Linked DNA regions of Pelodiscus sinensis. The main gene of each other region encodes a partner of the protein of the gene in region 3 in a complex. Links are inferred from orthologs where the notes say so. Each region holds a gene or a part of one and is shown on either strand. Other genes may lie near its edges. The genes, in order: CDAN1, TLK2 and ASF1A.

The links.
Region 1: the proteins of ASF1A (region 3) and CDAN1 are in contact, whole or in part, in a cryo-EM structure (PDB 9CVC), measured with the Homo sapiens proteins. The link is inferred for Pelodiscus sinensis from reciprocal best matches to the Homo sapiens genes ASF1A and CDAN1. Residues at the interface, in NP_054753.1 of Homo sapiens: Gln5, Val6, Asn7, Asn8, Val9, Val10, Val11, Leu12, Asp13, Pro15, Asn20, Pro21, Phe28, Asp37, Val45, Ser47, Ala48, Glu49, Ser50, Glu51, Glu52, Asp54, Asp58, Ser59, Val60, Leu61, Val62, Gly63, Pro64, Val65; in NP_612486.2 of Homo sapiens: Arg195, Arg196, Ile197, Asn198, Thr200, Val202, Lys390, Leu391, His470, Glu471, Glu472, Pro473, Gly474, Trp475, Asp476, Lys538, Arg541, Arg544, Leu545, Gln546, Arg548, Leu549, Met550, Ala551, Pro552, Gln553, Ser554, Ser555, Arg806, Lys807.
Region 2: the proteins of ASF1A (region 3) and TLK2 are in contact, whole or in part, in a crystal structure (PDB 7LO0), measured with the Homo sapiens proteins. The link is inferred for Pelodiscus sinensis from reciprocal best matches to the Homo sapiens genes ASF1A and TLK2. Residues at the interface, in NP_054753.1 of Homo sapiens: Val45, Ala48, Glu49, Glu51, Asp54, Asp88, Val92, Thr93, Val94, Leu96, Arg108, Gly110, Tyr111, Tyr112, Arg145, Thr147, Phe149; in NP_001271262.1 of Homo sapiens: Arg11, Arg12, Gln13, Leu15, Leu16, Glu17, Arg19, Phe20, Thr21, Gly22, Val23.

The regions. Positions count from the first base shown.
Region 1 is NC_134714.1:66,824,522-66,834,414, forward strand, and holds the start of CDAN1 (codanin-1), read right to left. Parts: upstream 5,637-9,893; coding exon 5,187-5,636; intron 1-5,186. Other genes in the region: uncharacterized protein LOC142829135, read left to right, coding at 5,781-6,228, 9,325-9,893. UniProt on the Homo sapiens protein: May act as a negative regulator of ASF1 in chromatin assembly.
Region 2 is NC_134739.1:5,111,292-5,121,184, forward strand, and holds the start of TLK2 (serine/threonine-protein kinase tousled-like 2), read left to right. Parts: upstream 1-5,178; 5' UTR 5,179-5,645; intron 5,646-7,270; exon of another isoform or gene 7,271-7,273; 5' UTR 7,274-7,278; coding exon 7,279-7,359; intron 7,360-9,893. UniProt on the Homo sapiens protein: Serine/threonine-protein kinase involved in the process of chromatin assembly and probably also DNA replication, transcription, repair, and chromosome segregation. Phosphorylates the chromatin assembly factors ASF1A and ASF1B.
Region 3 is NC_134713.1:84,929,039-84,938,931, reverse strand, and holds the start of ASF1A (histone chaperone ASF1A), read right to left. Parts: upstream 6,169-9,893; 5' UTR 6,166-6,168; coding exon of another isoform or gene 6,101-6,165; 5' UTR 5,942-6,100; coding exon 5,833-5,941; intron 4,704-5,832; coding exon 4,614-4,703; intron 3,004-4,613; exon of another isoform or gene 2,472-3,003; coding exon of another isoform or gene 2,446-2,471; intron 1,530-2,445; coding exon 1,414-1,529; intron 1-1,413. Other genes in the region: DNA helicase MCM9, read left to right, coding at 9,370-9,544. UniProt on the Homo sapiens protein: Histone chaperone that facilitates histone deposition and histone exchange and removal during nucleosome assembly and disassembly.

The DNA.
Region 1 (9,893 bases), on a different chromosome or scaffold from region 3:
CAACTCAGAGAATGCTGGATTTCTACATCAACAACAGCCTTGGATGAAAGACAACTTCCAAAACAGAGAAAATGATAGATATTCTCCAATGCCTCTCCATTGATTTTAATAGATAGGGTGCATGGTACCTCATTTGGAGAGGGATGGTGGAGCACTTTGGTTTTCTTGATGTTGAAGGTGAGACCAAGACATGCATAAGCATCACCAAACACGTTCAAGATAACCTGAAGATCTCAGAGTGGGCAAAAACTGCAGTGCCATCATCATACTGAAGTTCCACAATATATATGGTGGAAATCTTACTCTTCGCTTTCAGCCTGCTAAGCCTCACAAAAGCTTTCCATCCATTTTGTAGATGATTTCAACACCAGTTGGGAGCTTCCCAGAAATTAGGTAAAAAACAACTGCAATAAAGACTGTGAACATGGTTGGGATAACAATATAAACCTGTTTGACTCCTGTTTGTACTTTGAAAGGTCCACTCTGGGAGCCAATGCTGCTCAAAACAGTCACTTTCAAGTTCCATGAAGCAACTTTAGGACACTGATGTATTTATCAAGACATCAGATCTTCAAAAGTACAGTCTAAAGGGCATAGCAATTCACTGAGTCAAAAGCTCAATAAAAGTTTGATCAATGAAAGCCATGTACAGTGGTCAGTTTTGCTCCTGACACATCTCTTGCAGCTGCTGTGAAATGAAGATCCCAATGAGGACAAGGTCGGAAGCCACTTTGTGACTCTGGTAAAATTTCTTCTGACGGACAGAAGACAGGTTGCAAGGACTCATGCCAGAACTTTTCCTACAACAGCAAGAAGAACGATACCATGATAGTTTCCAGTCTACTTTATCCCCTTTCTTAAAGAGGGCAACACCCAGTGAAATGACGGATGCCTTGATTATCTCCTCCTTTATCTAGATTTTAAGGATAAGCAAACTAAGCAGACAAATTAACTCTGATCCACCATCTTTAAAGATTTCAGCGAGGATCACATCTGGACCTACTGCCTTCTTCATCTGCTTGATGGCATTGTATACCTCAGTGGTCCCCAACCTTTAGAGGCTCCCGGGGGCGGGGCCACTTACGCGCCGGGCGCCTGGGGGGTGGGGCCACTTGCGCCGGGCGCCCCGGGGGGTGGGGACCGCGCGTCCTGGGGCACGCCATAGGCGGGGATGCCCTTGCACCCGGCGCCGGCATGTGCCCCAGGGCCGGGGCCGCCCAAGCGCCGCGCACCGGGAGCCGGTGCGTGTCACGCGCCTGGGGCCGGCACCGGCCCAGGTTGTCGGCGGGCGCACACAAATGCCCCGGTGGGTGCCATGGTGCCCGCGGGCACCGCGTTGGGGACCACTGGTATACCTCATACAAATTGGGAGGGTCTCCAAGCTCATCCCTAGAAGGTCATTGGTGGATTCGCTCAAGAAATTCATCTGCAACTGTAGAATTACAATTAAGATCTTCAAAATGTTCTTTCCAGTGAAAATTAATAGCTTTGTCTTTCATAAGTGTGGTTCCATCCTTTGAACGAAGGGGGTTCATGCCATGCCCATAAACAGCCTTAATAGCACTAAAAAGACGTGATTATGGGTAGCCATAAAAGTGCTGGAGTTCTTGTGCTCTCTCGGTCCATCATTTGTTCTTGAGTTCTCTGGTTTTACATTGGACTTCCGCCTTTACCTTAGCATGGGCTTCTCTCTTTGTATTGCAATTTCTTCTCATTGATGAATTGTTTGATTTCAACATCATTCTCAAACCAATCCCAATAGTTTCTGGTATGATAGCCAATTGTTTCCTCACAAGTATTGAGGATTGCTGCTTTCAGCTGGCTCCAATGCTCCTCAATTTCCTCCAGAAACTCTGATGGAACCTTTTCTTATAAGGCTGCTTGGAAGTGGTCATGCTTAATGGGTCCTTCAGATCTTGACCCTTCAAGCTTGCACCTGATCTGTTTCTTTTGCAGCCCTCATTTGGGGGGCTATCTTAATTTTCACTGTGGATCAAATGAGGCAATCATCAGGCCAGCAGTCATCAGCACTTGTCATTGCTCATGAGAAGTACATCACTACAAACTCGAGCATGAACTATGACATAGTAAAGAAGATGCCAGTGCTTTGAACATGGGCCTCTCCAAGATGTTTTGAACTTTTTTTTGGTCAAGAAAGGGTGTTCATAATGATACGTTCGTGTTCAGCACACTTGGTCAGGAGCAGGATTCCATTTGAGTTGCTTTTGCCAGCTCCTTCTTTCGAAAACTGTTCCTTTACACAGATATCAGTCTTGTCTAACGTGCGTATTGAAATCCCCCCCCCAAAATTCTTCTCTTCTTTAGGGGTCTCTGATAAAATGGTTTCCAGCTGAGAATAGAAATCTTCCTTTACATCCTCATCAGCGTCCACTGTTGGCACACAGGCACTCACAATAGTTACCTCGGTTTTTGGTGAGCCTCAGATGATCATAAACTGCTTATTGATGCCTACTGGCACCTCAGAGAGGCATTTTACGAGCTTGTTCTTAATAGCAAAGCCTACTCCATACAATTGAGGTTCATCTAAAGATTTTCCCTTCCAGAAGCTCTCTCCTCCCTCACCTGGTTCATCAGCTCTTCTAGTTTCAGACTCTTCTATTCTCTTGAGGCTACGCTTACACTGGCAGCTCAGTCGTTCTTCCGCAAAAACTTGCCGGCTGTCTACAATGCACGAGCATTCTTCCAGAAGTAAATTTACAGTATAGCGTCATAAAACAGGATTTCTTCCGGAATAAGCCCTCTTGTGCAAGAGCTCTTCCACAAGAGGGCAGTGTAGACAGGCAACATGAATTTCTTGCGCAAGAAGCCCCTATGGTTAAAATGGCCATCAGAGCTTTCTTGTGGAAGAGAGTGTCTAAACTGCCATGGATGCTCTTGCACAAAAGCACATGGCACTGTTGATGCTATCTTGCGGAAGAATTTTTGCACAAGAACTCTTCCACAAGAGAGTTCTTGTGCAAGAAGCTGCCAGTGTAGACGTAGCCCAACTGTACTGGAAATACCACACCTGATGTATTGTAGGGATATAAGCAACTAATCGACCAGTCGCTTCACCCCCCCCTTGCTGCCTCTATCACAAAGAGGCAATGAGAGGAGGGGGGGGAAGGAACGGGTGCTGGTGGGAGCCGGCTTAAAAGCCAGTTCCCCCCAGCTCCAGCTCTCTGGGAGTGGGCAAGGGCACAGCGGTGGCCAACTTTGAAATGTCTGGAGCTCTTGTACATTTCAAAGTTAGAACACAGTGGGGAGCCCAGGCCAGCTGGGAGTTCCGCTGACCTGGGGTTCCACATGGCATGCCTGCTTTGAAATCTACAAGAACCCCTGAAGAAGTGGGCTGTGCCCACAAAAGCACATGATACCATCTACATGTTTTGTTAGTCTATAAAGTGCTACCAGGCCATTTGTTGTTTTAAGTTTATCCTGTACAGACCAACTCGGCTACCCCCTGAAACTTCCAAATAGACAAGTAATAGAAAAAGCCAAAGTGAAATGATTTGCCTAACGTCACACAGTAAGTCAATGGCAGAGCCAGGGATAGAACTCCAGGTACCTTGGTTCCAGGTCCAGAACTCACTCATGAGACCTCAAATCTCTCATTAAAGCAATATTCGACTATCTGGGAAAACTGCACAAACAATGACTTCACACTATAACTCAATTTTATCTCTTTCCCTTTTTGAAAATTTTTATTTAAAAACAGCAATGTCTTTCCCTAACCATTTGACCTTTTTCCATGAGCTATAGATTTTTCTCCCATCGTGGCTCACAACCACATAGTTCAGCTACATTTATACAACACTTTTCTTCCCCAAAAAATGCCAAACACACCGTAAATGTAGTTAACAATTACTAACAATTCAGCTACTCCTTGATTCACAATAACTATCACATTAGAAAATGTCATCTGCTCAGCAGCCATGCTATATAAATTTTAGAAAGGAAGCTGAGAGAAAAAATGTAATTACTTGAGCAGGCATTTGGTAAAAATGGTGTTTACCAACATAACTTCTAATGTATGACAAATGCCAAGAGACTGTAATAAAGTGCTTTACATCACACCTAAGAGATGTCATTGACAGCAGCAGCGAATCCACAAGCACACCACAGGGGCAATAAAACAGAACTAACTCAGAGGGATGAATTAAGTCTATTAAGTTACCACTCTTCCTGCAGCATCCTGGATTTTTTTTGGAAGTCTCTATATTCAAGTAGTAAGCAGGCTAGGCACCCTCTTAGCTTATTAGAACGTGCCTTTGAAATTGTGTTTGATAGCTGCTTGCTGCAAAACCAGCAGATGGAGCTCTTAAACTACAGGGATCCTCACATTTTAGGAATAGAATACAAGAAAATTTTGTGAACATTCTGTAAATAGCCTAAGCTCTAGAGATCCAAGTGTAAGTTTATCTGGATAGCCTGTCCAACTTTCATATGACCAAGCTTTCTTCAGCAGCAACAGATCACAATAATAGCCAAATAGCTTTGTGGGTCACATCAAGGGGTTAAGTATTAGAGAGGTAGCCGTGTTAGTCTGAATCTGCAAAAGCGGCGAGGAGTCCTGTGGCACCTTATAGACTAACTGAAGTGTTGGAAACTTTGCCTGGGGGAAACTGCCAGAAACAAAAAATCTGCACCTACTTAATACAAAACTCCTCTTAACACACCAGCACAGCGCATGGAAACTAGGGGCGGTGCTGAGAGCGGGAGGACGCAAGGGATCACACACACCTGGCATTTTATTTTGCAGTGGGGCTGGGCCGTTGAGGAGGAACACGCTACAAACTCTTTTTCGCCGCGGCTGCGGCTCCTCCCCCCTTATTTTCCTCCAGCCCGCAGAAGCGCTGACTGCCCCCAGGGCCCACCACACAGGGTGCCAAACTAGACGAGCTGCCTGCGCGGGCGAGAGTCCCGGCCCCAACCTCGGCTGGACTCGGCCAAGTGGGCTGATCCCTGGGGCCTGTCGGCTGCACCGGCCGCCCGCAGACCGGTGCTGAGCTCGGCTTGCGCTTCCCACCCCGCCGCAGGCTGCCCCCCTCCATGGCCCGAGCGCGGCAGCCCCCGGGAGAGCCCCTAGACGCCAGAATCCGGTTGCTCCAGGCCACCGGCCCGCACGGGGCAGGGAGTCCGGGCTGCTGCAGGCCGCGGCCCCTCGCTGCCGGGCTGCGCGTTACCTCAGCTGGGTCGTGGCTGGGGCCGTGCACGAGCCACCGCACCACGGCGTCCGGCGCCACCTCCTCCCGCAACAGCAGCTCCAAAACAGCCGCCATCCCCGGCCGCCGAGCAGGCGCACTACGCCGCAGCGCGCGGACAAGCGCGGCTGCGGCAGGGCCCGGGGGCGGGGCTGAGACGCTGCACCACGCGGGCGCAGGCGACGGCGCCGCCACTAACTCCCTCGTGCGCCGCGGGGGGGGAGGGGCTAGAATCGGAAAGGGCGGGACCACACGATAGGCGCCGTGGGGCGAGTGTGATGCCAGAAGGGGGCGGGGCTCCAAGGGTCGGTGCCTCTGGTGGGCGGGGCAAGAGGGGGCTGTCACGGGGCGCAGTAGGTATTGCCATTGGGGCGCGCAGCCTCCCTGCGCGGGGCGGGGCGGCCCGGCCACCGACTCCCGCCCCCTCCCCATGTCAACAAGCGGGGCGCGCGGCGCCTGCGCTGGGGGCTTGCGCGTCCCTCGCTCTCGTGCGCGGCGTTGGTCTCCCGAGCAGGGCCCGGGCTGTGGCCTAGCGGCGGGCGCGCGGCGATCGGGGCGGCCCGCGGGCCGGGCAGGATGATGGCCGAGGACTCGCCCAAGCGGCGCAAGGCCAATTTCAACGAGGCGGAGACCGAGGTGCTGATCGAGCAGGTGCTGAAGCACGAGCAGCTGCTGTTCGCGGCGGGGCCAGGCCGCGCCTCCCCGGGCCAGAAGCGGCGGGTGTGGGAGCTGATCCGGCACAAGGTGAACCCGGTGGCCGCCTGCCCCCGCGACGTGGAGGATCTCAAGAAGCGCTGGCGGGACCTGAAGCGCCGCGACCGCAGCAAGCTCTGCCGCCTCTCGCACGGCTGCGGCCCCCCCGGCGGGCTCGGCCTGCTGCTGCCCACCGACGAGATGTCCCAGCCCGCCTCGCAGCCCGACCACCACCGCGCCTACGGCTCTGCCATGGGCCACGCCGAGGCCGTTCCCATCGTGGGCGGCATCGACACGCTGGACCTGCCGGGAGCCTCCGTGGTGGACATCGGTGAGCCGCGGGGCGGGACAGCGGGGCCCCAGGCGCCCCCCCGCCAATCTGGGCCTGCGACGCGGCAGGAGTCGGCGTTGTCATGGAGCCGGGGGATTAACCCCCCCCTCCGGCCCATGCCCCCTGCAGAGGAGTTAGCTCAGCCTCTGTGCAGCTCCCGGCGGCTTTGTGCTGCTTCCCCACGTCCGGCGCTGAAAGGGGGGCACCTGTCATCAGCCGGGAGCGGCGGCTCCCAGGTCCCCCTCTCCCCCCGCCGTGGCCCGGCTTCATTCTTAATGATGAGATTTTTTTTTGCCCTGTCGGGGACCCGTACGACCACGGCCCCTCTAGATGTGGCTTGAAGCTCTGCAGCCTGTCCCAGAGGTGCTTCCTAAGGGACAGACCAGAGCATCACTCACCCCCTTCCCCTCAACTCCTGTTACTCACATGAGGCAGTGGTGTAATGTACAAAGGACACAGGTGTAAGTGAGACTTACCCCAGGCAGTTTTCGGTTTGAAGCTTTGTGCTTGCTTATGCCCCTGTCAGTGACGTCTCCATCTTCCAGTGGTTTTAGGGACCATGATGCATAGCTCGCTTGTGTGAAGAATCAATTTGTTTTTTGTGTTATAGCAGTTGCTCATAGTTATATCTAACTGTAAAGTGTTTCTAATCTAGAAAATGCTTAGGCTTTATCTACACAGCAGTGTTATTTTGGAATAACTGACTGTTCCAAATAACAGAGTCCATGTCTAAACACAATCAGTTATTTCGACATAATATCAAAATAATGTCAAGCTGGAGGACTGCTTACTCAGACTCCTGGAACCCTCATTGTGTGAGGAGTAGGGGAAGAATGCTCTATCTTAAAATAACTGCTGTGTAGACAGCTCCAAAAGTCTAAATAAGCTATTTCGCAACTTAAGCTACACAATAAGCGTAGCTCAAGTCCTGTGACTTATTTCGAGTTTAGCCCTGTTGTTGAGGGTGTGTCTAGACTACCTAGTTTTGTCGACAAAAGTGGACTTTTGTCGACAAAACTATACCAGCGTCTACACTACCGCTGAGTTCTGTCGACATAACGTCGACAGAACTCAGCAGTTTTGTCGACACTGGTATACCTCATTTTACGAGGCATAACACCTTCTGTCGACAGAACTCTGTCGACAGAAGGTGTTATTGCCTGTAACGTTGCGTCCAGATTACGGAGTTCTGTCGACAAAGCAGCTTGCTTTGTCGACAGAACTCAATGTGTCTGGACGCTTTGTCGACGGAAGTTTTGTCGACAGTATCTGTCGACAAAACTTCCGTCAACAAAACGCGGTAGTCTAGACGTACCCATAGACTCAGACACTTGCTTCACTTTATTCCTCTAAAGTGTAACATTGATTTTAGTGGGATTACTCTTGATAGTCAAGGCAAGTAATATAAGAACCAAGGTTTTAAGTAGTATCTGTTCACCTGATTCTGTGCCTCAAGAAGGAAAAAAACTCCCAGAACACTATCTTATGAGTAGATTGTATAAAATATCAAGTCACAGGTAATTATAGTTGTCAGAAGAAATGAACACAGTATGATTTAAGAAGCAGAGCCTTTTCTTCATTTACTAATTCACCAGGGGTCACAGTTGTGTGCAAATTAAGGATGTTCTACTGTCCAAAATACTTTTTTCAACATAATTTGTTTATAATGGCTTCCTCTTCTTGCCTAAATCAGATAGATGGTGAACTGTTGGCAGGTTTTGCTTTATAGGCAGTGAAAACAAGTGAACAAACAGTATAGACCCACCTGCATATATGCAAATTTGGATCATTCCAAACACTCACAAGAAAGTATTCCACCTTGCAAATCCCAGCCTTTGTAAAATGCAGCCAACTGGTAAATTACACCCTGTTGTGTGTGAGCTGCAAGGTATGAGCATTAGTGCAAGGAATCAGAGGCCAGGTCCACACTGCAGGGGAAGGTCAAGCCCCCAAGGCTCGGACCTCCTCAGCACTGGGGAGCCCTCACTGGAGCTCAGACTCCCCCATTGTTTCCCTACTATGGAGCTGGAGCCCACAAAATCTACTAGCCTGGGCCTCTTAGGCTCTGGTGTGCAAGGGGAATGTGGGGAGTGTCAGTCAGGGGCCATGTCTATGAGGGGTTTGTTTTGTTTTGCTTCTCACTTGAGTGCAGCCCCCAACTGATTTTTCTGTGGGTTAATGGCCCCTACCCAACAAAAGGTTCCCCACCTCTAGCTTAAGCTATGCAATTCCAGCTACATAACAAAATGTAGCTGGAGTCGGTGTACTTTAAGCTGTGTTTTGGCGCCATCCTCACAGCGGGAAGTCGATAGAACACTTCTATCTACTTTCCTTAGTCCTCATATGGAGTAGGAATACTGGCACTGACAGGGGCACCCTGAGCAATTGATTTAGCAGGTCTTTTACTAGACTCACTAAATCATACACCAGAAGATCAACTGCTGCAGTGTTGATCTTCCCACAATTGGAGACTTCTGACAAGGAGGAGTGATTCAGAGAGGGTGCCACTGTGGGTCTGCTTTGCAAATACTGGGTTTATTGTGCTAAACTTGGAGAGAGGAAAATAAGAGCTTGGAATGAATTTAGTCTGTTCTGTATCACATGCTTTTGACTGATCTGTTGGGGAGTAAGTGATTTCAATGGGAGGGCAGGTCTACAGTACAGGTTCAAGTTGATCTAAGCTACACAGTTTGAGTTGCATTAGTAGCATAACTCAGGTCAGCGTATCTTAAATCTCCCTACCTTAGGGTCCACACCGTGCTGGGTTTCTCCCATCAACTCTCCTTACTCATTTCATTCTGGTGGAGTACTAGAGTCGATTCTGAGCAATCGGCAGTCAGTCCCTGCTGTTGTGGTGACAAAGATTTGCATTGCTGAGTTATGTCATTTACAGTAAGCATGTTTTGATTATTTCAAAGCGTGCTATGAGTGTAGGAGATAATACAGTACAACTCCTCATTGTAGGGTCTTGACATCAGAAGAATTAACTACCACATAAAAAAGCCAGTTGTACTCACGGGGTAGGCAGAGGTTTGATTAAGCACAGAGATGATGAAGTCTGACTCCTATTTCCATTTCTCCTCTATGCCCTTTTAGGGTTTACAGATGATCCTGGCCCATCCCATCAACCCTGTCTTGAGAAGATGAACTTAAAAGAAGAAATAGTAGTGAAGGTAGTGGAGCCAGAAGAAAGTTCTGAGGACATGGCTGTGGTTCCACCTAGCCAGGAGCACTTGCCCTTTCTGGGAACAGCTGGGGGTGGCTTGTCTGGGAAAGTAAAAGCCAAAACAAAAGGCCGGTCACAGGCAGACCAAAATGAAATTACTGAAGAGGATTTAATACAGATTCAGCAGAACCAGATGCAAGTGATCCAATCTGGCTTTGACAGTGTCAATCACAACCTTCGTTTGCTGCAGCAAGGCATGCAAGATCTCAGCAACAGCCTCAGTATTATGGCACACACACTGGTGGCTATCAAAAATGTTTATGTGAAAAACAACACAGGCCCAACCACCTATGCCACCACTTCTACTCAGACCACTGCAGGGTATCTGAGTCCTGGGTCTCCCCAGATCTCCCCAGCTGAAGACAGAGGCAGAGTACAGATGGCCGGAAGCAGCAGCAGAAGCAGCAGCTGTAGTTCTAGTTCTATGTCTCAAGAACCA
Region 2 (9,893 bases), on a different chromosome or scaffold from region 3:
ATAATTTTATTAGAAACATTCCCATAAGAGTGACCTAATTCAGCTTCCCTGGTGGGAATTCTGGTTAAAGTTCCTTCCCGTTAGAGCATTGAGAGTTTCACAGACAGTGAGCAGCACGCTGAATGGCACTTATGTGCGTTTCGGAGGCAGTGTAGAGCCGGAGGCATGGATATCGTCAGTGCTTTGTTTGTTTAAAAAAAAAAAAAAGGAAGTGCCAGTACTAGGGCTGCCAGATGGTTTTGTTGAGCCAAAAAACCCAAAAAAACCCAAAACAAAACACTCCGGGGAAAATTTGTCGGGGGGGGGGGGGGGGGAGCGCATGGGAGGTCGGGGCTGAAATGCGGCAGCCCCTTTAATTGCCATGTCCCGAGTGGGGCCGGTGCATACCATCACAAAACAAGCACTAGGTGTCGTATGCAATTATCCATCCACCCTACCTAAAATGGGTCAGGCCTCATACTATACTCGCTGATGCTTTCAAGAGATCTGCGAGAGAGCCCCCAAGTCGAGTGTGCTGCTGTAGACCAGTCTGGAGTTGTCAGCTGCATCAGAGAAGGATACAAAAGGCGGGGAAAAGATGGTTGTATCCCAGTTGTGTGAGGTGCTGCACAAATGCACAGAAAATGACAATCCCTTGACCTAAGGTTTCATCTTGCCCCCATCTAGCGGACAAGATATAGCTGATGAGATGAACAAGCAGGTGTAGGGACGGGAGCCAAGGGAACGTAGGGCCACATGAAGAGGATGTGTGCAATCCTTAGTCAATTAGGGACGACCCTGCGATACCCAAAGCCTGAGCTAACTGCCCAGGTTTCCATATTGAGGGTGAGCCACAAGCATGTGTGTTAGGCAGGGAGCTGCCTAAGCTAAGGATGTTAAGGAGTAGTTGACTAGTCGATATCTCCCCCTGCCCCCCCCCCCCAGCTTGCTGCTTCTATGAAATAGAGGCAGCAAAGCAGGGGGGAATAGGGGGTACCTCAAAGCGGCAGCACCGCACAGAACCTGTACCTGGGCTTCGTGTGCGCTGCCACTTTGAAATGCCCTGGTAGCACCACACAGCTCAGCCCAGGCTCAGTGCATTTCAGATGTGCATTTCATCTCAGTGCATAACCTGCTGGGGCTCTTGTACATTTCAAAGGAGGAATGCGGAAGTGTCAATCAACTAGTAAATTACTCAGTATTTAACATCCTTTGCCTAAGCCAGCCAATAGATGCAGAGCAAGAGGGGACGTGCTAAGCCTTGTCCCGACTCAGAAATAGGCGCTAAGTCTGGGCAGCCGGATGGCATTTATCTCTGCTAATGAGCCCTCAGGCAGGGGAAGTCTGTGGCTAGGCCCTCAGCCAGAGTGTAGGAAACCCCTTCCTTCCGAGGCAGAGAAGGAATCTGAAGAGGGTTTTGCTGCCTCTCAGGTGAGTGCTCTGACCACTTGATCATGGAGTATTCTGATGTGAGGCTTCCTCAATCCCTCCTATTGCAGATGTTCCCCTCTCATGAAAACCAGAATAATTAAATATTAATTGGGGCTGAGAAAAACTTGGAACAACTTAACCGCCAAGCAATTAGAGCCCTCAGTGGAGAGGGGCCGCAGCCTGTTCAAATTCCTTCTCTCTCGCAGGAGGGGGGGTTTGGACCAGGGGTCGCAAGGTGAGTGCACTAGGCTAAAGGTTAGAATGAGCTCCTCTCTCTCATTTTGTGTGGGCGCGTCTGGGGGCCCGGATCCAGTAGGTCACTTCTGGGTACACCTACCAGAGTGGGACCCTGCCTACGACGTGAATGGCAAAATGTCCATCTTCCCTGCTTTGTGAGTTATGGGGGGGAGCCAGAGGAGATAACTGGGCAACTAGCAGGATGCAGGAGTGCACATGCCCAGAGCCAGACACATGAGCGCCTGGGCATCTTTTCCTGCAAAAACGGTGCTGAGGGAGAACAGGCACCTTCCAGGGCTAAGGCGACAGCCACGTAGGAGTTGAGTGGAGCCTAAGGGACTCAGGAGAGAGGTGAAAGTAAGGCGGTGCGCCGCTCGGGCAAGAGCTGACTGGGGGATGCTTTCCCAGGCCAGCTCCTGCAGGCTGGTGCCGGAGACCTGGCGTGCCCAGCCAGGTGAGGCAGGCAGGTGTGCAAGGGACTGGCTGGGATGCGCTGTAAGGGGGAGACACGCTTCCAGCCAAGCTACTGGTGCATCCACACCTGTCCTGCTGCCCCCCTCGCTGGATGCCAGGCAGCGCTTGTGCAGTCCGTGGCATGCACGGCTGCCAGCAGCCCCTGGGAAGAAGCCAGGGGAAGGGAAGTGGCAAGCTCACACTGCTGCTGGTATCCCTGGAGCCCCCACAGCTCCCTTGTGGCCATGCAGCAAACAGGAGCAGCAAGGCAGGGACCTGTCCCCCAGCCAGGTAAAGGTAACCAGGCAGCAGCCATCCCAGCCCCCCCTTTCTCCTACACATGCACCCCAGCTCCCTGTCTTGAGCCTCTCCCCCAGACTCCCAACCCCCGGCCCTGACTCCTGCACCTCCCCCCAACTACATCCGTGCCCTGAGTTCCTCTCATACCTAAATCCTGACTCCTACACCCTCAAGCCCCAACCCTCTCCCCCCGCACTCCACCCCATTCTTACATTTCTCACAGGTAGTTGCATCGCAACCCCCTCCCCCACTCTTTGCTCTGAGCCCTCCCAAGAGGGGCAGGTTGCCTTAGGACAGTATCTGTAAGAAATTTAAGTTACTTTCACCCCTGGGAGTCTAAGTATCTTTGTGGCTCATACCCAAAGAGCTAAGGACCCTTAGTATAGGACAAAAATGCAGCTTGTGGCATCTCTCACTCTTCCCCCAGGTATTTCACATGTTGAACAAGCGACTGAACCCTCCACAACTGAGGAAAAGCAGCATGTGGATCAAGAGCAATATTGAATTTCTTCAAAGGAATGAGCAAAACCATACTGAAGTGACACACCCATTCTGCTACGTGACTCAAGGCTGCTGGTATAACTAAATCGCTTCAGTAGCCTGAGTGTCTGACTGCTGTTTCCTGCCTCAAGGAGATGATCGACCATCAGAACTAATGGCTCTAAAGCCACATCCAGATCCACAGACATAAACCACTGCAGTTAAGACCCTGCTGGAGTTGACCTGCTTCTTGGATATAAGAGTTCCCAGATCTCCTTTCCATTTCTGTTCTCTCTTGTTGATTTGTAACTATACCAATGAAGTTTACTTATGTTATGAATGAAAATTCCAAATGTCACTAATCATCCTCTAAACTGTGGTGATAAGTTGTAATAATTTAGATGGCTTAAGAAACATGCACAACAGAAGTCAACTTTCAAAACAGTTTGCACAGGTCCCTGTCAGTGTTCATGTCCCCACGGTGCATCTCGGGGTGGGAGCTGAAATTTTGCTACTACTTCCTCAGATTGGATCTCCGGCTGTGAAATAGGTTAAAGCACAGGAAATGCAGTTTACGAGAAAAGGCAGACATTTTCAAAGTGATTTGCAAAGCAAGTGCCCAGCAGCCTCCTCTACTCCCCACCTTACCGTTTTTAACCTCTGTTAAACTAACCATTTTAAAATAAAATATTAGTTCTTTTCAGCACTGCAGGTTACTGCCTTTTCTTGTACATTCCAATGGAATCTATCATTCCCTTAGTCCTACTCTGTATCCTCAGATTTGCCAAACTGGCAGATTCCTGTTCGACTGTACGTTCTCTTTATTGCAATCAAGTAAATCTGACTTCAGTGGCTGACTCTCTTTTGACATGCAGCCATATTGTCTAGAACACCTTTACCATTGCACTGTAGTTTTGGAAGGCAAATATTTCATCCAAAATCCCAGCAACTTCCTTTCCTGTCCCTAATCCACGCCTGCCTCCACTTGGACAGGCATGGCCACTTCCTTTCTGAATAACCTTCCCCACCCCCAATTTGTTTGCTTTTCAGAAAGCTGATTCAGCCTTAAAGCAAAGTGAGTTGCAGTGCTGTTTAGCGTCACTTAATATTCTCTCTGGTGATGCCCCAGGGTTTGGAAGAAAAGGGAATAAGAACAAACTACAAGGTAGTCTGGCTACTGTGGGGGAGATTAAGTCCTTTTCATACTGGAGTTTAGCAAGAGGCAACTACAAGAGCAAACCCCTAGCTGTAAAAGTGCCAGGAAAGTCTGTGGTTAATTTTAAAGTCACTTAGTTTGCTTTGACTGCCCATCCTGCTGTTTATGTGCAATATCCATGTTTAATCAGGAGCTTGTTAAAAAGATTGAAGAAATGGCAAATCAGGGAAGAGGCATTCTTGTTTTCTCATGTCTTTTTCGCAATTCCTCAGAGGCACAATTGATTGGGAGGTTGGGGATGTTCTGCCTATAAACTCTTCCCTTCAGGCCCTGGAGTCAATCTCTGGGGAACAGGAGACTGTCTTTGCAAACAAGGTCCCCTGTTGCTCAGGAAGAGGGAGGAATTCCCTCTGGGTGGAGATGGGGAGGAATTTTCCCTTCATGCCACAGGGAGTTAAGCAGAAAGCAGGGAAAGTGGATTCGCACTGATCATTCTTATGCATCAACTCCGCTCCTCTGCGCCTGGTCTGTTACTCCTTGAAAGCACCCTCCTGGCTGGGGGAGCAAGACCGCCCAGGTTACCCCTGAGCAAAACGTCAGCCACCCACTTTGCCCCCTAGCAGCAGCCTTGCAGTTCATTGGAGGGTGAAACAACCTGGGTGGGTATAAATCTCCACCAATCCCCTCCCCGATGCACTAATCCAACTGTGCTGAACCCTGGCCCTCTGCACGTTCTACTTTCCCCGTGCACGCCCCCTCCCCAGGCACTAACCTCTCACCTCCAGGACGGAGCCCCTCCCCTCTACACTTGACCCCACTTCTCCTACCAGGTGCCCTGGCCCCCCATGCACAGTCCTCTCCCCTGGCACAAACCCCAACCCCACGCACTAGCCCCTCCCCGCGCTGACCTCCCCCCTCCCCATGCCCATTAGCCCCTCCCCTCCCCGCATTCACCTCCCCCACCCCAGACACTAGCCCCTCCCTACGTTGACCTCCCTTCCCCCCTCCCAGCACTGACCTCCCCTCCCCCCCCAGCCGTGCAAATCTCGCGAGAGAACACGCGCTTTCACTAGTGTGTCTTTGCACCAATCGATCCCTACCGGGCCGGGCCGAGTCGGACCAGGGGGCGGACCCGGCCGCCCCGACACCCGCCCCACCCCCCCATCGCCGACTACTCGGGCTGACCGTGCAGGGAGGGGGGTGCCCCGGATTCTCGTGCCCCCCCCCGCGGCTCGTCGGAGCCGCCCCCCCCCTTTTTCCCCGGGGCCTTTGTCCTCCGAGGCCGCCGCCGCCCCCTCCCCGCGCCTCGCGCCCCTTGCCCGGGCGGGGCGCCTACGCGAGGCCGGGGATCCGCGGCCTCCCCCGGCGCCGGCGAGGGGCTCGCCCCGCGTCCCCGCCTCGGAGCCGCCGAGCTCGCTGCCCGCGCCGGCGGGGCGCCTGGCTCAGGAGAGGCCGCGGAGCCGCCCCTGGCCTCCCCCTCCCGCCCGGGCGGCCGCAGCAGGTTCCCCCCGCCCTGCTGCTGCCCCCGGCGGCGGCGGGATCCGAGCGGGGCCCGGGGAGCGGCCGGGCCGGGCCGGAGGGGAGAGGAGCGGCGGGGGAGCAGCGCCAGGTGAGAGCCGCGGGGGGGGGGGGCGGTTGCTAGGGGGCTGGGGGGGGCGCGGCCCCGCCCTGGGGGTCCTGGCCCCGCTGCCGGGGGGGGGACGCGCCAGGCCACGGGGCGGGCCGGGCTCGGCCTGCGGATCCCCGGCCTGGCAGTGGAGGCGATGGCTGCCTCGGGTGAGGGGGAGGCCGGGGCCGCAGCTGGGACTGGGGGGAGGGGGGGGCTACATCCCTCCGTGTGGAAACATCGTGCCCGGTGTGGGGCAATTCCCCCGCCCCCGGGGTGCGGCCTGTCAGCAGGTCTGCCCCAGGGCGCCCCCCACCCCCGGGGGGCAGGGACACCCCCGCGTGTGTCCGCCTCAGCCCCCCTGCAGGGCTGGGACCCCTGTCCCCAGGCCGCGCCACGCTGGTGGGGGAGGCTCTGCCTGCTGGTGGGGCGCCCCTGCCGCCCCTCCATCGCTGCGCTCCTTGCCAAGGGAGAGCACTGACAGCTTTGTTAAATGGAGACCAGAGGGTTGTATTAATCCGGTGGCTCGGTGTGTTAGGGCTTTTATGGCCTCTTCAGGGTGTGAATGCCCCCAAATGGACTCGCTCAGCACCTTGGAGATGAGAGGAAATGAGATTGGGGGGACAAAATGGACAGTCAATAAAAGGAACAATTATATGGTGGCTTTTCTAGAGGGCACTTGCTGCCCTTCAGGAACTTTCCATGTAGCATATGATCTTTATACAGCAAATCTGTATTCTCTCATTTTTTTTTTTCCTGCCATGATCTCTTTCGGAGAAATGAAACTGGAACAGATATTTCTGGAACTTATGAACTTGCTCCGAATGCAGTTAAGAAGATGTGAATCACAGTTTTAATAAACTCTGCAATTCCTCACTTTTTTTCAATTAACACTGAAATTGTACGTTTCAAGAATTAAACCAGATGACTCAAGGATGCCTTTAAAAAAAAAAAAAGCGTTTCATACAATGGTGCCAGTTTTAATGGATCACTTGGAAGTACCCAGAAGCATCCAACTATATGGGAGAAACTTGTGTGTTTGAGTATTTGGTACATTGTTTAGTAAAAGGAGAAGTTTAAAAAAGCATCATTCTCCATCTCATCCTTTTCCTGAAGAGCCTAGGCTTTGTCTCTGAAGTTGTCACAAAAGCCCTAGTAGCTGTAGGGCATTTGGAGTTATCCAGTGCTTCAGTGAATGGCAAAAACAGAGAATAGTGGGGGTATGAAGGATGTTTGAGAGTTTCTGACTAGTGTAGGGCTAAAGACTTCAGCTATAGCGCCCTCCCCTTCTGTTTTGTCTGCAAGAAATTTAACAAAATACTCAATGGGAAGACGGTGGAATCAGAGGGTTAGCAATAGGACTGAGGTTCCAGTTAAGAAATTTCCAATAAGTGGTAATTCTGTCAGATGATGGAGCTCTCTAGAATAGGCCCTGGTTAAAATAGTAACATTTTGGTGGCAAGTCACATTTTACTACATGATCATTTTGAATCTATATTGCATGACAGAAATTATTTGTATACAGTCACTTGTTACTACAGCTATTTTTGAGCATCATCAATGCCAGAGAAAATACATTCTTTCCCTTTTCCTTGCATTGACTAATATAGCATATTTTTCTCCCATAGCAGCAGAAATGATGGAAGAGTTGCATAGCCTGGACCCCCGACGCCAGGAACTGCTGGAAGCCAGGTTCACTGGAGTAGGTGTTGCCAAAGTAAGTAAAAGTGCCTGTGAGAGCAGGCACAAATACCTTGCACACCATTTTTTTTTTAACAGAGAAGTAGTGCTGTTTCAATAAGGGGAAATTGTTCATTGGTAATTTTGCTTTGTCCACTAACTTATTTTAAAGTGTGTGTAAAGAAGAATATACAATACTGAAAATAACGAGTTTGCCTCTGTGTACATAGACATCATGGTGTGTGTGAGAGTTTGAAGGCTTGCTCTTTTTTTTTTTTTTTTTTTTTCCTAGTATAAAAAAGCCATGCACCACACACATGTTTTGGAAGAGGGAGGATAGGCCATCTTTTTCCTATCTCAAAGGGTTTGTCTAGGAAACAGATGAGTAGCTTATTTGTTCTTCTTTGAGAACAACTGAAATTGTACAAGCTTAGCCTAATTTGTTGAGCCCTGGATATAACTATCTACTCGCCTGTGGTGAGTAGATTTTAGCCCAGCGGGGCCGCGCAGCGCGGTTAGCGTATGCCCTTCCGTGTGGCTGGCAAGCCCTGGTCATATCAATCAAAACTTACTTATTCAAGGGTAAGCTTGTGTATAATTAGGTTTGCAACCTGCTAGCAAAATCATAGAATCATAGAGCTGGAAGAGACCTCAGGAGTAGGGATGTTAAATTGTGGTTATCTGACTAATCATGTGGTCGATACAATTTGTTTCGACTACACGATTAGTTGATAAGGACCACTCTGCAGAGCAGCAGCGAGGGTACCTCCGGGAGCTGACTCGAGCATTTTAAATGTAGTAAGAGCCCAGTTGGTCTTACTACATTTAAAATACAGAGGTACAGTGTCCTGGACCAGTGCGAGCCAGGACCGAGCAGTCCTGGCTTGCGCTGAGTCCAGCAGCCCCGGTTTGTGGCGGCTAGAGGCTGCTTTGGCACCAGCCCCTGTTCACGGTGAACAGGGCTGGCTGCCAGAGCAGCCTCTGCGCACAGCCAACTCGGGCCACCGCGAACAGGGGCTGCTTGGTGGTCCAGCTCCCTAATGGGGCCCCTGTGGATAGAGCAGCTTCCCCTCCCCCCCCCCTCTCCGCTGCATGTGATAGAGGGGGCAGGCAGCACCATGGAGGGAGCCATGCCGCGGGGAACCAGTTTTTAAGCCTCTCCTAGAGGCAGCAAGGCAGGAGATGAAGTGAGTAGTTGATACTCTAGTCAACTATTCACTAACATCCCTACTCAGGAGGTCATCGAGTCCAGCCCCCAAATCCTACCCTTCTCTTAATATATGACTTTGTACCTGGATAACAGTTGCATTTCTTGAGTAAGGCATTCAGTAATAAGCTATGTCATTTCCGTCCTTTTGTTTAAAATTCCAGGATTGGATTTGATCTGTTTCTGTGTGTACTGTTATAGTGCCTATAATAGTGTGTCTTCATTTTTCTCACCATTCTAGTTCTCAAATAATGGTGGAACAGTGATAACATTCCAGTTTGCATACTTGAAAGTCACTGAGTTTCAAGCCATATCAAGCTAGAAAGGAAATATAATTAGATAACTTGTTGCTATAAAAAATGCAGCCACCTGTTGGAATCATATTGGGCAGAGGAAACTAATTTACCTTTCTGTGATGAAAAGTACAAAATAAATACATCAAATTTTGGAAAGGTTATATCCAAGTTCATACTTTGTTTCTGACCTACTTTGTGCTTCAGTTGTATTATGAAGCCCTGGAAGTAGATCAGTAAGTAAACAGTTTGCAACTTAAAGGAAGCTGAGACCTGGTCCAAAACTGAAAAGTTTTAGTGTTAAAACTTTTGGTTAGGTATGCTATTTTTTAAACTTATATGGTAATATAGGTAAAAACTCTAATGGGGTGCAGTTTTTTGGGGATGAAGATGACTTACATTAGTATAGTTATTCCTGTTTTAGTATGGGGTGAGCTATACTGATATAATTGTGCTCGTTCTTTTGAGTAGTGGTGGTAGTGTGTTGGACCTCTTTAACTATAGAAGTATAGTTAAAGCAGTACACAGTTCTAATGCAGACATGCCCCTGGATTGTTGGCTTCTTGAGGGCAGGACCCTCGTCTGTCTATATTATACAGTGCCTAAATATTAACACTGAGGTGAATGTTAACTTTAGGAAGCCACTTCTTATAAAGAAATAACTTTAAGCAGATCTAAGCATGCAAAACTTAATGTTACACAATTGGGAGAAAAATGCTCTTCCACTATTAAAGTTAATGAAAATTACCTTGCTAATTCTCATGCCATTGAACCATAAATTGCTGATCCACCTAAAGAGAACAACAGTTTCTCGTTTCCTAGAGCACACAGGAGAGGACTGTATAGTAGTAAATTTGTCTAGTGTAAAATATGGCATTGTTAGTTTAAAACTATTATGTTTCTTAAAATAGAGAACATCTTGTGGTATAGCTGGTTTATTTATCTTCATACTCTTACTTGTTAATTTGCAATGGATCTCCCATCCACTCATGAAAATTACCAAGGTCCTACTAAAAATGTGTAGTCCTGTGGCACACTAGAGACATATGGTATCATGAGCAAAACCCCACT
Region 3 (9,893 bases):
AAAATTAAGTTTTCCTTTATCTGGAAGTTTCAGATGTGCTCTGAAGCATTCGAATAATTGGGATTTACATGTTTATTCAAGATGCCTTAGATATTTTCTACACACAACCTGACACCATCCTTAAAACAATTGTATCAACTGTCAGAAATATAGAAGCTCTTTTCTATCTCCAGTTATTTTCTTTAGTTGTATGCATGCACACCAGTGTATCTTTGCCATACAATCACAGCAAAGTGCAGTTGTGGGGGTGGAAGTTCAATTCTTCTGTAAGGAGCTAAATTTAGTTTTAGTCTGACACTTCTGCCACTGCCGCCACTGCCAGGGCATTTTAGACCTATTTTATCCGATGAAGCTAGCATTGGGTAAACAGAGGTTATGCAGAACTAAGGCTATGTCCACACTACCAGCCCTACAGTAGCATACCTGCAGCACTGTCACTTGTTTTCCAACAATATAGTCAATTGACCTGAAGAGGCAATAGCTAGGTCAGTGAAAAAATTCTTTAGCTGACCTAATGGTTTAGGTCAGCTTAACAATGTCTCTTGGCATTGACAGATAGGTTGACCTAAGTTTTTAGTGTAAAGCACCCCTAAGTTTTAGGTGTAGACCAGGCCTGAGTCATGGTTTTGTGATACAGAGAAAGCTCCCCTGAGAATTAAAGCGAGACTGATACCAGAGCAGTGCATAAAGCCCCTTCTCTGCTCTCCTCTCCCCATTTCCCTTGCTCCTTGCCTTATTTGTAACTCTTTGGCTTCCTCAGTTGGTAGTTCTTAGGATTTTCAAACATCTGAAAATGTGTGGGTGAGTCGTGATCTTCATGTGTCTCCTTGACATGCTTCAATCAATGAGAATCCCAGACTTATTTCAGGACTTGGGAAACGGTGTTGCAATTACAGCATTATGGCATGAGGAGCCAAACATCATGATGCAATATTGTCTTGCTGACCAAAGACAGATGGCTATTCTATTGAACTGGTCACTGGGGCCTAGACTAACATTTATACTCAAAAGTTTCCCACAATTGCTACCAACACTACAACCTCACCAGTGGTATAGGTGTTGGGAAGTGCTTTCATGTACCAGCTAAATGGCATTTTTAATCACTGTGTTGTCTAACTTTTCCCTGAGCAAGGCTAGTCAACAGAGTGGTTACAATGCCAGTAGCCACCAGAACCTTGTCTAAACTAGTCCTCTCCTTCCCCCATTCCCTCATTGATACCACAAGTGGAACTGTAACTGTAGGCTATTTCAGGCAAAACAAGGACTCATGTAGACAGATTTTCAGGAGTTGACATAAAATAGTGTTTGCTAACATAAAACATATTATTGAAATGCTGCTTCACTTTATGCTGGCCCCATTTAAACATCAGATTAATTCAACTGATGTAAAATTATTGAAAATAACAAACTTACCTGAAATACAAACATGTGCCTTCCTGCAGGAACAGGTCCTACTAAAACGGAGTCTAAAACTTGATCATACTCCTCACTTTCTGCTGAACCCACATAAATTATTTTCCATTCCAAATCTACATTAAAACAAAAACAACATTTTACAAAATGCTCACAATTTTCATCTAATTTAACTGCCTCTCTTTGGAAAAGTCAGTCCATTGCTCTAGGTAAGGGGCCCCACATCTTGCTTATTTAGGACATTCACTCAAACTTGCCTCCATAGCTGCTGGCCTACAAAGGCTAAAGGGTTGTCAACAGGAGAAATTTATTGGCATAATTATACTGCTTTAAAGCTGATGTAAAGTTGTAGTGGTATAACTAAACATAAGGGAATGGATCACTTGTTCATTTGTACCAACACAGCTCTACGTATGCTTTCTAAGTTTTGTTGTTACCATTAGTTTTGCTGCTAAGCTTTGCTGCTACCATTATTTGGAAATAGTATCCTCCCCTCTCCCCTGGAAAAGGGCTGTGTAATGCCATTTTTAGATATAGATGGATGGGGAGAGATGGACACTGAAGATAGACACAGCAGGAACAGTTATATGTGGGAAGTAGTGAGCTCATTCACATGTGGTAGCCATGGTATAAAGAGCAGCACAAAATCCAATTTTGGGTCCCCTACCAATTTTTCTTTTTCAGAGCAGGATAGTTGTTAATTGAATAGATAGCTCATTGTACAAATATACATACATCTACAAACATTGAAGAATATATAATTATAATATTGTGATTACAGGATACTGTTAGTAAAGGTTTTGGTGTCTGGCTGTAACCTGAATCTTAAGACTGAATTATAACCATTTTATGTAAACTCTGTGTTTTATTGTTTCATAATACAATTTAAAGAAACGTTAATAGTTCATATTTCTTAGCCCATTTGTGTTGCTGTGCTCACTCTTTGCCCACACTACCTGTTTAAAAACTGAAACTATCAACTAACATCCATTAATTTTTATTTCCACTTATTTTTTAACTTTCACTTTCTAGATAAAACACACATACAGGAGAACTAACCTGCCAGAATTACTGGATTCTAAACAAACAAGCAAAGGTTGCTCTGATGGGTTATTCTTATTGAAAAATGCCATTTGTGATTTACTTTTTTGAAAATAGAACTTATTTTAAAATGTTTCAAAATATTGCCTTTAAAAAAAACCAGGTGTGACCCATTTTCATCTTGTGTATCAGTATGGAACAGTGTACTGATTCTGTATATATGCTGTCATCAGCGCATACTCTTGTGTCATTCCATGCTTTTCAATGAGCTTCTCTGAACAGGTGCGAACAGGAGTCTATGCGAGGCACTCCTGTTGCAGGATAGGAGCCTAAATAAGGAAGAAACTGCAACATTGTAACAACTTGGCTGCTTTACTATCTTTTATCATTTAGCACAGCCTTTTATGTGTGTTTATTATTTAAGTGGCATAACTCATAGGATTCAGGAAAGAATTTTGGGAATACCAAGACAAGATATCAGATTAGATGGGCAAATGGTCGGATCCACTGTAGCAATTCCTGCTATGTAAATAAACTATATAAAATTGAGGATTGATGGTTTTTGTCTAGAATTTTCCTTGCACATCCATTATAAGCCACTGTCCCAAAGCACTGTTTAAGTCATTCTGGACTGATAGTTAGGGTTGCCAGGTGTCCAGTATTGGACCAGTATTTGCAGCTTCTATCCAGTTAAAAAAAAAAAAAAAACCAAAACCAGAAAATATCAGACATGTAAAATGTCCGGTATTTTCTGGGTTTTTTTCCGGACAGAAGGCCACTTGGGACATTCGGGAGTGTAGGATTTAAAGGCGTCATGACTTTTTTTGTGGTTTTTTTTTTGTTTGTTTTGTTTTGTGCTCAACTAATTTTTTCCCCCGCCATGTTCAGTATTTTTTGTGAAACTATCTGGGAACCCTACTGATAGTATAAAACAGATTAGGAATCATATGGGGGCACGGTTACAGGAAGTAAATGCTCTTTCAGAATTGTATGCAAAAAGGGTAATTATCAAATCCTATTAGGACTCTGTGTCCAACAGTAACTTTTAAAATTGTTTTGACTAAATAGATGAAATTTTAAAATTAAATTGGCAAGTGATTGGTCTGCTTTGGAGAAAAAAGCACAATAGATGACTGAGATATTTAGTGTTTGGACATTAAAGCAAGGACACAACCTTCTTCATAAAATGATGAAGATTATTTGAAGATTATTTGTAATAATAATCATTGTAATGACTTCTATGAAAGCTCAATAGCTGTGGCCATATGGAAGTAGATGTGGTGATTGTGATGTACCTCTACTTTTCATTCTCAGCTGAACACAGGGATAATAGTGCAAAAAAATGAAGTAAACTTCTTTTTTCTGCTAATTTATACACTAATCAACCTGGCCCAACTTTCATTTAAATCAATCTGGTGTTGAGAGTGATAAATACAAATGCACATACATAGGAAGAGAGGGCTGAAGCTCTTTGCAGCATTGGTGGCATCCAAAAAGTCTTAAAGAGTAACACCATGGAAGCCTTGTTTACACTTGAGAAATCTTTAAAAAATTTCTCACTGGCTCAGCACAGGTGTTTACCATGAATCCCTACAAAAAAATGGCAGCTACTTCTCCAACTAAAAGAAATGGTGAACAGCACTAATACTAGGGTAGCAGTAAGATAATTTAAGCAAGTCTTAATTGTACACAGGGCCCTTATGGAGAGTGCCAGCAATTATGATAGACCAAAGGTGGTGGTGTTTTCTGTGATGTGGACACTTGCTCCCCATGGAACTGGTCTCACCAAATGCATTTTGTGTTAAGTCACCAATACATAATAAAGTAGCAATGACTGAAAGTTACAGATTTGGACTGGATTTGTATTAGTGGCACAAAGATACAAAACACCCCACATATCCCATTACCCAAGCTTTGAACTGTTTAGTCACCCATAAAGTAAAACCAGAAATAAGTAAGTTTATTTTCCCCTACTGCTTAAAATGTTGGGATCCCCAGGTATCACATGTCACTGACAGTGTTAGGGTATAAATAGCTCCTAATGGTTCTGCCCTCTTCATGGGGGACACAAGAAAGCACAAGCTGAATGCCTTGTGGCCAAAGGTACTCCCACTCCTCCCTCAAATGCTTAAGATTGGTCACTAGCCTGCTTCATTCACCTGTTGTGCCAGTGCTCCTGAGGGAAGCTGGAGGAAGCTTGCTCCCTTCTTTTAGTCCAGTGGTGAGACCAGGGGTCCCAGAGTGCTCCTCTGGCCAGAAGAGAAATGGATTTTACTTTCTGCTGTAAACATCTTGTTAACCTGCAGCACTGGCCCAATGCACTGTAGGACCACTGCTGTAAACCTTTTTGGACGATGCCTGTGGATTGCTAAAGTATTTGGTAAGAGTAGCCAGCCCTGGAGGCGTCGCAGCTGAGCGACACAAGAGGTTAATGTCTAGTCCACCCCCTTCACTCAGGAGTGGGTGGATACATGCTGACCGCACTCCCTGCACAACGCACCCCGCTCTGGGCAGGCTGGGGAGCAAAAGACTAGGTTTGAAGACAGAACCTGAGATTCCTAGCTGGCAGGACATAGCAGGGTACACCTACACCCCCAGGCTACCACCCAACAGCAACTTTCAAGTGAGTTCTAAAAATACTATTTCCCTCCCCCGCCCTCCCTTCCTCTCTCTCGGGGCGGGGAGTGTTAATAGCCGGAATAATACTAAATCTGTAAAGGGATTCAATCGGCTAGTTTGATTATTTTCAGACATTTTGTAAAATACTAAGTGCTGCAGCTACATTTGAATCTCTACTTGGAGCAGCCCACCCCTCTCGAAATATTTCCCCCCAAAGTATTCGAATCGATTGTCAAGACAATGAAAATATTTTATTTCTTGGGGGTGGGGGGTGTTCTCCACTTTGTGCAACCTTTCGGCAGCATTCCTCTTGGCTCTGCTCAGCAACAGTTCACTTCAGCAAAAGGGATGCATGAGAGATGTGCTCGTTAACCCCCTCCCTCTCTCACACACACACAGACACACACAAACACAAAGCTGGCAACATGGCTACCACCACTCAAACAAGTTCCTGGCAACTTAAGCTTACGTTATAAAATGCAGGGTTTGGATCCGAAATACAGCAGCACTCAACTCTGCAGCAGAGGACACAATAATCAACTTTCCTTTGCCTTTCAGCCTAACCGCGTCAGCCTAAGACAGAGCATTTCTAAGCAGCATTTAGATGCCTGCCAGCACATCCTTTCATCTAGTCACACCGAGACAGAGAAAGAGAAACTGTTAAATAGTAGAACCAGGCCTTTGCAAAGTTTAAACCGTTTAAAACCTGAAACTAATAGCCCTGGTTATAAAATCCGTACTGGGGAAAAATCTACTCACCTTCAGACAGATCCTCTATGCATTCAAACGTGATTTCGAATTGAAAAGGATTGTAGAAAGGCGAAGGATTATCCAACACCACTACATTGTTCACCTGAACCTTTGCCATATTTTGAAAAAAATACAAACAATAGGAATAGGGGGTTAATGCAGCACAGTAAAGTCCAATGTGTTGTTTTTTTGTAAAGCACACACTCCAGTGCCAGTACTTGATCAAGGTTGTAGAGCTGTGACTTGAGAAACTTTTTTTTTCTTTTATTTACAATAGGAACACTCCACACTGTTTTGCAGCTTTCCTATTTCACTAAACTACAGCCCATTCTGCTCTGTTAACTGGCAGCGTTGGCACTGATTGGCTGCACACTGAGCTATGACCCTCCTCCTGAAGCTTCCTGAAAGAACAAGATGGGCTCCTTTGCTCTGAATGGACTGAAAAACATTAGCTGCTGCTCCACCTGCTGGCCCAGAGTAGGAAAAAGGCTTGGAACAAAGTGACTAGCATAAATGAAACTGGGAGGAACTAATGAATGAAGGATGAGCTTGTAGTCTGAGTTTGAGTACTGTGCTCACAAAATATGTGCAAGGCACCACTGGATGGAGTTGGCTTTTTGTTTTTCCTCTCCTTGTTTATTATCCCCCTCCCTTTTTTCTTTTTTTCCAAATCCAGGTTTTCTTCTCTGTGTGGCCAGATGATGAATAGAATTATTTCATTAAGGAAAACATAGTTGAAGTTGCTGATTTTTTTTTCTCTTGCTAGTTTTAAATCTGTTTACCCTCATTGACTTTATTTCTGCTGTATAATGGTGCATTTCAAATAAACCCATGGGATTTAAGGGACCAGGCCTGAAATCTTTACATGAGAAGTTCTTGCTGAGGGCTTGTTCACACTTAAAATGAAGCAGTGCAGCTGCACCATTGTAGTGCTTCAGTGTAGACACTAACTACTAGGGATGCTAAACTGCATTTAATTAACTGTGTAACCACTAAAAATTTCAGTAGTGGTGGGGGGCAGTTGGCTCCCACCTTCCCCCCGCCCATGCTGCTGCCTCTGAAACAGAGGCAGCAGCATGGGGGGCAAGAGGACTACTCAGCTTCTTGAGAGCCAGTGCGCATGGGGAGCAGCTTTTAAGCCAGCTCCCCACACATACCAGGAGCCTGCATGTAACTGTGAAGGTTAGTGGATGAGCCCAGGTGATTATGCATTCACATCACTTCTAACTACATGGACGACAGAGCTTCTCCCATCGGTGCAAGTAATCCACCTCCCCAAGAATTGTTCTGTCAATGTAGCACAGGTCTACACCAGGAGTTCAGGAGGTCAGTATAGGAATGTCTTTGAGGGGTGGTGGATTTTTGACATCCTTGAGAGACATAGCTATACCAAAGTAAATTCCTTCTGTAGACCAGGACTTATACAATTAAAGTCTTTGATGTCAATGGCTCTCTTCACTTGACTTGAGAGTAGGCAAGAAATGGCTGTGGGATCCAATTTGTTATGTTTGAAGAGATGCTAGATAATGAGGTACAATGAGCTGGAACAGTCCTCAAGGTCCATATGGAAGGGGCCTCTTCATGAAGATCTCACTCTTTGCTCATGGAAGATGGGGCAATGACTCAGATAAGTGGCACCAGGCCCCTTCCCTCTAGCCTCTGGAGAGAGTAACTGGCAGGGTCATGGATCTGTGGCTGAGAAGGAGCCAAGATGAAAGACTGCGTGGAATGTCACTCACAATTCCCTGGGAAATCTACTCACAAATAAATACAGGTTCAGTTTGTATTAATTTCTGAATTGAGCCCTTGAGTGTAATGGAGTGTCTTATCTAAGGCAGTATTTCAGAGGATACTGCCTGCATGGAAAGTCTGAGCAATGCTGACAAGGAGCCTGTAGAGATCTGGAGAGCAGTGCTGGACGCAGAGATTCTGTGTCTTCAGCAGATCCCTGAGGGTTGCAGTGAGGTTTCCTCTCAGAGGCTCCCTCTTGTATGTTCTTCCAGAGCAGGGGACAATCTTGGTCTGTATTTACAAAGAAATTATACTGTCCTGAATATGATCTCGACTGTTTTTTATGCTTCTCACAGTGCTGGAATTTACTTCAGTTTTTATAACTGCTATTTAAACAGCCAGATGACATTGTCTACATTGTACTGTGCTTACTAGAGTGAAGCAAAGTCCAAGAGATCAGGGAGGATGAGACAAAATGAGAAAGATTCATCATGGCCAATCTCCCTAAAAAACATGTAGTGTGTCAGTAAAACAATTCTATGCTTATTAATTCTTCACTGCCTATTGGAAGTATGGAACTGCACTGACAAAAACTGCACCAGCCAAAGGGTTGGTGGTTCCTGGGCTCCATTAAGATCTTTGAACCCATTGCCGTTCTAGCAAGATGATCTTTGGATTGGATGTGGCCCTAGCATTCCATAACATCTTTAGGAGCTATGGAGTGTGGGGCATAGGACCATGTGTGATTCAAGCAGTAATGGAGTGTGGGGGGAAAGAGCTTGGGAGAAGGAAAGGGAGGAACTTGGCAGAAGATAAAAGAGAGATTAGGAGGGGAGAAGGGGAGTTGCAGATGTTTAAGGATGGATGGCCATCCTAGTAGTTGTAGTTGCAATCTCAAATCCCCTCATATTACATAAATACCTACTGATAGCATTATCCTGAAGTTGTTAACTCCTCTTCAGAACTAAGTGTTATTAGAGAAAAGAACTGACTTGCTGGAGAAAGTGAAAATTGAATAGTCTTGATATGTAAACAAGAAATGCATCAGGCAGAAATTCAAACTCTTCAGGGTCTCAGTGCTGTGAGGCTTAATTACAGCACGTCACAATCAGCTGCGTCCATTTGCAGATGCAGTGGGGAACTTTTTCTTTGGTTTCAATACCCATGGATTCCTGCTCTCATGTTTCACTTAAATTGGACATTCAAATGAATCCAATAAACAAAGAGAAACTTTGTCAGACCCAGTTCACAGGTTTGTGGAAACAACAATCACTTCTGCTTCACGAACTGAGGAGTTGGTCTCTGTGGAAAGATATGTTAAAATGATTTATTTTGCAGCATTTGTTGAATGGTCTTTTTTTTTTTTTTTGATGCCTTAAGTGTTGATAGTGGATCAGTTGTGTTCCTGGCATAACTTTGCTAATAGCATTGAATTTGCACCAAAAATTAATTTGATACGACAGATTTAGTCCTCTCTCATTCTACTTCCTTTTGTAAATTGTTCATATCGTAAAACCATCACCTTAAAATGTGGCATGCTTGGCAGATTTTCCTGCCATTACCTGGATTGTTATAGAGGGGATGTTGTACCAGCAGGTCTGAATTGAGGTACATTAGCAGAACTCTTTGGTGAAGCTTTTAACACCATATCTTGGGAGGTGCACCGTCCCCTTATTCCCCTGTCAAAATTTTAACTTCTAAATGGGGTGCTTTCTCTCCCTCTTCCTGGCACTAGCTAGTTTATTTCATCCCTCCCTTTCTTTCAAATGCACACATACTTTAAAAAAATATTAAATTGGAATGAACATTCTTCAGGTTTGACGGTAACTGCAGTAAAGGATTCTGGAGAATGGAATTTGGAAGCTGGTGCACTCGTGCTTGCAGATGGAGGTCTTTGTTGTATTGATGAGTTTAATAGCATCAAGGAACATGACAGAACCAGCATACATGAAGCAATGGAGCAACAAACCATCAGTGTAGCTAAGGCAGGGTAAGTGACATTTAAATGCATGTGATGAAATAACAAAATGTCTTTTCTCTCAATTCTGAAATATAAAAATAAATGTTAGATGTAGGTTTCCCCCGACCAATTTACATATTTCTTTACTATACTATACAGTTTTGTTTTAAAATTTCAAGGGAGACTCCTTTGCGCCCCTGTCAAGTTTATTCCTGGTGGTGGATTTCTGATGACCACCTCTCTTTTGATTTAACCTGTGTCCAGGTTGGAGCTTACAGCTCAGTTCAGAGTTCTTTTCAGCATAACCGCAACTACCTACTGTGTATATAGGAGAAATAACCTCCGAAGTGTTGTGTGGGCACAATTCTCTTGGGTCAAG